2 linked regions of the Nothobranchius furzeri genome follow. The protein of the gene in region 1 interacts with the protein of each later gene in a pairwise test. Links are inferred from orthologs where the notes say so. Each region holds a gene or a part of one and is shown on either strand. Other genes may lie near its edges. The genes, in order: appl1 and adipor1a.

Region 1 (3,419 bases):
TTGAGTTTTATTAGCATGTTAGCATTAGCATCACGCTTGTCAGAGGAGCTATTTTTGCTCCTGGAGGTCTTTTGGCAGATTTAGAAACCTGGTTTGTGTTTTGGTTTGCATTCCATATTAGATCAGGGAAAAGCATAGAGGAGTTTAAACATTACTGTTGGAAGATGATTTAAAAAACAACTATGGTTACATCATTTGTGTTAAGGTTGTGAAAAATAGACAGAAGCCAACATGGCAGAAAAAGGGAAAAAAAAGAAAAAGATCCCTTATGCATTTTTTCTTTCACTTCAGAGATCCTGACCCTGAAAGAAGTCTTCCAGATAGCCAGTGATGGTGAGTTCATCTGTTTGTGTCTTCTCACTCTCCCAGAAGTCCCAGAGGTCATCTCTTCTTTGACTGATCCAACACGGCAACCTCAGTTTATGTTAAACATAGTCCCACTTAGTGTTTCCTTTAAAGGTGTGGAACACTGAAAACCATTTTTAATGGTTATTTGTCATTATAATGCAGGCTGAACATGAAATTAGTCCCCTACACCTATCTCCTGCTTTGGCTTCTGGTAGAAAACAGACGGTGAAACTCTAGGATTAGAAAATCCTGACAGATCTACGTCACACTGTCACTAAACATTCATGGACACTTCCATCTAACACAATTACTTATTCACACAGGGCAATGAAGGTTTGGATTTTGTTCTCTCCCTAAATAATAAAAACCATCATTTCAAAACTGCATTTTGTGTTTACTTGTGTTATCTTTGACTAATGGTTAAATGTGTTTGATGATCAGAAACATTTTGTGTGACAAACATGCAAAAGAATAAGAAATCAGGAAGGGGGCAAATAGTTTTTCACACCACTGTAGATCCTGCTGTGTTCAGCTCAGGTGATGTGGCTCACTTCTAGTTCCTGAAAAGGGCACACAGGTGCTTTTTTCCTTAGAGTAAGACTTCCAAGGTATTAATTCCTTCTAGAGACCACTGCAAATGTATAAAATAAATCAGTGTTCCACACCTTTGATAAATGGATGAAATGTTACTTTAGAATTATTTAACTATGTATTATTCAACATTTTCCTCACAGGAATTACTTTATACAATATAGTTTAAACAACTTTCACCAGCTGAGGTCATCCTGCTCTTGTTTAAACATGTCTGTGGGATTCTCCCAATTATCCCTTTATGGAGTAATTGCGTTCACGTTTATGGAGCCTAAAGTCATGACTTTAATCTAAAAGGTAAAAGTGGAAATGAAAGTGTTTACTTTTTTACTGCAGATCATGACACAGCCATTAACCGATACAGTCGCCTGTCTAAGAGGAAGGACAACGAAAAGGTGGGGAAGTTGGATTTATAATTTATTTAAATAAAAAAAACATATATAAATGTGTTCTCCCTGACGTTTTCATTTAAATAAGTGATGTTTTTACACACGTTGTCAGAATTTAACACAAAACATCTTTTTAAGCATGTTTAAAGAATAAAAATAAACTTTTATTTGAATTTAAAGTTATTTTTATAAAATTCAAAGAAAAATTTTACTATTATTTGCCAATAGAACCCATTTCTATGTGTTTGTGAATTATCCAACCTACCCTTCAATGTTACCGTATACCATCGTGTTGCTTCCACTCAAATTCAGTTTCTGCCTAACAAGTTCTTTTAGATAGTTTTTATAAAAACCTTCCAACACAGACGTAAAACCTACATTTCAAAGGGATTAAAGGAGGGAAGTGATGAGGGGTTCCTGACCTTCCCACGTTTGATTCAAGGTTCAGGTTTCTCCCAAGGTTCAGCTACCTGAAAGCAACATGATTATCGTTACTAAACAAGATTATCTCAGCAAATAATAATGTTATCCGTCTTCCTGAAATATGAGGACCATGCTGTTGTTGCAGGTGCGGTCGGAGTTGGTGGAGGACCTCTACACCTCCCGCAAGAAACAGCACCAGACCATGATGCACTACTTCTGTGCTCTGAACACGCTGCAGTACAAGAAGAAGACGGCGCTGCTGGAGCCGCTGCTGGGCTACATGCAGGCTCAGGTACACACACACACACACACTCATTTAAACCGGAGAAGTCAGAAAAAACAACCAGTTTTGAAACCATAATTCAACACGAGTGTTTATTTACCTCCCTATGAAACTTTTTTTTCGCAAAAGAGTGAAATTTCATCCTGATTCCTGTGTATGTGATTATATATACCGGTAATAAGGCCACAACCCATAGGGAGAGCTCACTTGCGGGGCGGAATGAATAATCTGCCTACTGGCGTGTCTTTAATCTGTGCAGATCAGTTTCTTTAAGCTGGGCTCAGAAAATCTCACCCAGCAGTGGGAGGACTTCCTGGGAACGATAGGAACCAGCGTCCAGAAGTAGGCGTCCAACTGACCTTTAACCTCTCAGAAAAGTTTCTTATAAAAACCAAAGTGTCAGAAATAAATATGTGTGTGTGTAGTGTACGTCGGGAGATGGAGGAAGAAGTGGGCCAGATGCAGCAGACCATCCAGCAGATGGAAAGGTCATGTGATCCTCTGTATACACCATGCGACCCTGACCCCGCCCACTCACCTGTTGTCCGCAGCCTAACTAGGAAGCAGGGATATCTCTACATTCGCAAGTGAGTGAGCTGCAAAATGTTTTTTTTTGTCTATTTAAACCTTGTTAAATATGAATTGATAAAAATTTGATCGTGTGATAAAGTGTATTTGTACATTTATTTAAGAGTCTTTTAAAGCAACAGTTTGTTAGTATTTGGAGACTTTAGATCCTGTTCTGTGCAGGATCGCAGTTTTATTTCTGATTTCATTATTGTCATTTTTCTGCTATAGATAAGAACTCTTTCATTTCTTAAATGTCTCTTATAATTTTTTAAATAATTCTGTCAATAACAGACAAATCAGACCAATGATATTAAAGGATTTTAGTTCTGTCTTTGTGAACGATTTATTTACAAGTCTAACTGTGTTGTGGCTCTTGGGTGGCAGTAAGACCGGCCTGGTGTCGTCATCCTGGGAACGTCAATACTTCTTCACTCAGGGAGGGAACCTGATGCAGCAGGGTCGAGGCGAGGTTGCGGGGGGACTGGTCACAGACCTCGACAACTGCTCGGTCATGGCCGTCGACTCAGATGACCGCCGGTTCTGCTTTCAGGTCACTTCCTTTGATGGCAAAAAGTGAGTTTTCTTGGTGTCTTCTGTTGCCTTTGAGGTTTTGGATTTCTGGGGTTTGATCTTTTCTCGTTGCTTTGGATCAGAGTGGTGACTCTGCAGGCGGAGAGCAGGAGGGAATGTGAGGAGGTGAGATGTTTCGCTGTTGTCATTGTCTCTGTGTTGATTGTTGTTGTTTCCTCACACTGGATCTCTGCTCCAACAGTGGATCGCCACCATCAACAACATCTCCAGGAGGATCTACCTGA
Region 2 (3,824 bases), about 20 Mb from region 1:
AGATGGAAAAGGGGGAGAACATTTTAGACTTTCTGAATCAAGTTGTTGTTTTTTATCCAGGTGTTATTACCAGAATCAAAATAAGACACAATATCATGTGCTGATCAATACCATCATAGGTCCATATAATTTCAGTTATTTCTACCTACATGTAATTTAGGATCCGTAGAAATATATTCCATTAGCTTGGCCTGTACCTCTGATTGTCATTTTGGCTTTTCAGGAAAAGTTTGCCACGTCCCATCTGAGGCAGAATACAGACGCTGTGAGTGGATCATCAGGCAGTCTCCCTATGTCAGGCCGAAACGGGTCTGCCAGTAAGTCAGACTGCCGGATCTCTGAGGACTGCAGCGTCCCAGATGTTGAGCTGATGGAGCTCGGGCCACTGCTGGAGGAGGGAGGGGGGCGGCAGGCGCCCTCTAAAGGTGTCCATCCAGAGGTATGGGAGTTTTTGCAAAAGTTTTTTTTATTTTTTATTTTTTGTAGCTGTCTGTGTCACTGCAATAGTAATCTCCTGTGATATATATTTAAAGGGAGCAGCAATGCTGGCTGAGGATGACGATGAGGATGATGATGAGGTGGGAGAAGTTCTGACTTTACCTCTTCAGGCTCACCATGCCATGGAGAAAATGGAGGAGTTTGTACACAAGGTAATTATGCATTTTTAGTATATTAAACAATATCATAAATATGATTTCTTCTTTACTGTAACAACATTAAGTTGACAGGGATGCTGTGGTGTGAGAAGTGGAGCTTATGTCACTCTGAGACATTTTCTGCATTATTAAATAATGCATTGGCTACTTTAAATCACCTGATACTCAACTCATTGTCCAGCATTGTATCAGTTTTTACAAAAGGATCTAGTTTAAGGCAGGTGGATAAAATTGTTCCAACAATAAGTAAAAAAAAAACTTTACAGCTAAAAATATGAAATGTGTTTCCGTAATACCTCTAAGGCAGTGATCTCCAACTCCCTTCCCCGAGGGCCAGTATTGAGCATGTTTTAGTTGTTTCCCCTAATCCAGCACACTTGATTCCCCTGTTCAGCAGCTCATCAGGCTTTGTAAATCACTTGCTGATTAAAATCAGGTGTGTTGAAGCAGGGAAAACAGTCAAACCTGCTGGATAGCGGTCGTCTGGGAAGGGAGAGATCTCTGCTCAAAGGCATGTCTAGATTATATTTGGCCTTTCAAAATCAAAATTCTTATAATTCCACTTTTTTTACACTGGTTTTCTCAGACTCCTGTTTTAATGGGTGATTGATAATGGAGGTTTTCTTCTGTTCAGGTTTGGGAGGGTCGCTGGAGGGTCATTCCCTTCCATGTCCTGCCAGACTGGCTGAAGGACAACGATTACCTCCTACATGGACATCGACCTCCTATGCCCTCCTTCAGGGCCTGCTTTGGAAGCATCTTCAGAATTCACACTGAGACGGGAAACATCTGGACTCATCTCTTAGGTGAGCACAAAATAATAAATAAATACATTAAAAAAATATATATATTTTTTTTTTCTCGATTTAAATGTTTAAAATTTCATTTTATTTAGCTTTTTCTCTCCCCAAATTCCAGGAACGAGTCAAATCTGTTATTTTGTCTTCCTCAGGGTGGATCTTGTTTGTTTGTCTGGGCACTTTAACCATGTTGCGCCCCAACATGTACTTTATGGCACCACTGCAGGAGAAAGTTGTGTTTGGGATGTTCTTCCTGGGAGCTGTGCTCTGCCTCAGCTTCTCTTGGCTTTTTCATACTGTCTACTGCCACTCGGAAAAAGTGTCACGCACGTTCTCCAAGTAAGGGTTCATGCAGTCTAAAAATATGATTTTTTTTTTTACACGCTCACAAGCTGCTCTGATAAAACCATACAAATAAACGAGAAGATTCATCCATGAGTTCTCAGGATTTTGTCGGAATTTTGTTGATGTTGTGTTCAAGCTGTAATTTAGGTTTGCTGTGACGAACCTTTACAAGCACATGTCTTTAATTCTTCTACAGTCTGACTTTGCCATTCTTAAGTGGAAACCAGCAATTCTAGCCTCAGAGTTTCTCCTCGACACAAATGTTTAAGGTTTTTCTGCTCCGTCTAGTTTTTCTGGGTTTTTGACTGAGAGGTTGATAAAGCTGCAAGTTCAGTCAGCCCACATAGTTCTGCATTTTTGAGCTGTTCCTGATAAGTTGCAGAGGAACTGAGCTGAATCTTGCTGCTGGCATCAATGAAGACCTCTAGTTTGCCTTCACTGACTGCATTGAGTGTTGTTCTGAACACAGTGTTGGAATGCTGTTTTGAAATGTGTGAAATTGTTAGAAATTTTCCAGGTTGGATTAAAGGAGCAATATGTTATAATTCTTCTATTTAAAAAATCACTGAACGGTCTAATGACTCAGTCTTGTTGGAAGGAAGGTTACGTTGAAACAAATTTCATTCTGAGCCAGCTGGAGGGTTATCTTAGTTTTTTAATGGTTGAAGAGGGACATAGTTACTGTTTAGTATCTGCGAGCCCGCAAGATTGCAGCGTCTGCGCCGATCTAACACTGCAGCACCTTCATTTGTAATTCAACGTTAGCAAAAAGCTCGAGTTGTAGAAAACAACTGAGCCAGTAAACAGGAGCAACCCAGAAGTTATCACCCTAAGAAGCCACACTCTAACGTGTGAAGAAGGCTAGAGGCTAACATTGAGCTAACAATGAATTAGAGGCAAATAATCTTACTTCCTTTATCGAGTCGTTCAGAACTATAACGGCAAGCTAACAGTAGGACATCAAACAGCTGCATTCCTCTAATTCTGGAGACATGCTACCGTAATAAGTGTGTAAGTGCTCCCTACCATAAAACACCCATAAGTGCTAACACCTGTTTACTGTGTATGACCCATCTTTGCTTGTCATCTAGAATGTTCTCTCAGAAACTCTCAGAACAGGAGTGAGAGAGTAACTTTTTGTTTAGAAAAATGTATTGCGGTACCCCAATTTGACCTCAGGATGTCGCTTTTACTTCATTCTTACATATTGCTCCTTTAAGTTTAAAAATAAGCATTTATAATTCATTTATAAACTGTTTCTACTCTATTTTCAAAATCTAAGTAATTTAATAATTTGTGCAGGAAATCTAAAGTGTAGAATAGGAAACAGAAAAGCATTCTGTGTTAAGGTAAAAATCACCTGTTTTGCATTCTTTTGAAGGCCCTGCATTTGTCAATGTGACTTTCTCTCCTCAGGCTTGACTACTCGGGCATTGCACTTCTAATCATGGGTTCCTTCGTACCCTGGTTGTACTACTCGTTCTACTGTTCCCCTCAGCCTCGACTTATCTACCTCACCATTGTTTGTGTTCTTGGCATCGCCGCCATCATAGTTGCCCAGTGGGACCGGTTCTCAACACCTCGTCACAGACCTACAAGGGCAGGTGAGGGTGATCTGTGTGTTTGCTTCAGATTATATTTAATGTGTTGATAATTTTTTTCTTCAGTGAGTACCAGGAGGACATTGGTTAGATACTGTTTGTGAAATAAATAACAGCTCATTTTATCTTGAGATCAAATCGTAGATATTTGCAGTAATTCTAGTACGGTAATTCCTCCTCTTAGGTGTATTCATGGGTCTTGGATTAAGTGGCATTGTTCCTACCATGCACTTCACCATCGAGGAAGGTTTTGTAAAGGCCACCACAGTGGGACAAATGGGCTGGTTTTATCTGATGGGAGCCATGTATATCACCGGCGCCGGCTTGTACGCAGCCAGGATCCCGGAACGCTTTTTCCCTGGAAAGTGTGACATATGGGTAAGTGTCAAATTATTGGGCTGAAAGTTAAAGGCTTAAATAAA

The links.
Region 2: the proteins of appl1 (region 1) and adipor1a interact in binary tests that used the Homo sapiens proteins (3 or more experiments, as listed by UniProt). The link is inferred for Nothobranchius furzeri from reciprocal best matches to the Homo sapiens genes APPL1 and ADIPOR1.

Annotation. Positions count from the first base shown.
Region 1 is NC_091743.1:68,844,645-68,848,063, forward strand, and holds part of appl1 (DCC-interacting protein 13-alpha), read left to right. Parts: intron 1-291; coding exon 292-333; intron 334-1,275; coding exon 1,276-1,334; intron 1,335-1,896; coding exon 1,897-2,043; intron 2,044-2,293; coding exon 2,294-2,376; intron 2,377-2,459; coding exon 2,460-2,621; intron 2,622-2,988; coding exon 2,989-3,177; intron 3,178-3,257; coding exon 3,258-3,300; intron 3,301-3,376; coding exon 3,377-3,419. UniProt on the Homo sapiens protein: Multifunctional adapter protein that binds to various membrane receptors, nuclear factors and signaling proteins to regulate many processes, such as cell proliferation, immune response, endosomal trafficking and cell metabolism.
Region 2 is NC_091743.1:48,917,715-48,921,538, reverse strand, and holds part of adipor1a (adiponectin receptor protein 1a), read left to right. Parts: intron 1-223; 5' UTR 224-292; coding exon 293-439; intron 440-533; coding exon 534-650; intron 651-1,290; coding exon 1,291-1,462; intron 1,463-1,608; coding exon 1,609-1,795; intron 1,796-3,217; coding exon 3,218-3,405; intron 3,406-3,586; coding exon 3,587-3,780; intron 3,781-3,824. UniProt on the Homo sapiens protein: Receptor for ADIPOQ, an essential hormone secreted by adipocytes that regulates glucose and lipid metabolism. Required for normal glucose and fat homeostasis and for maintaining a normal body weight.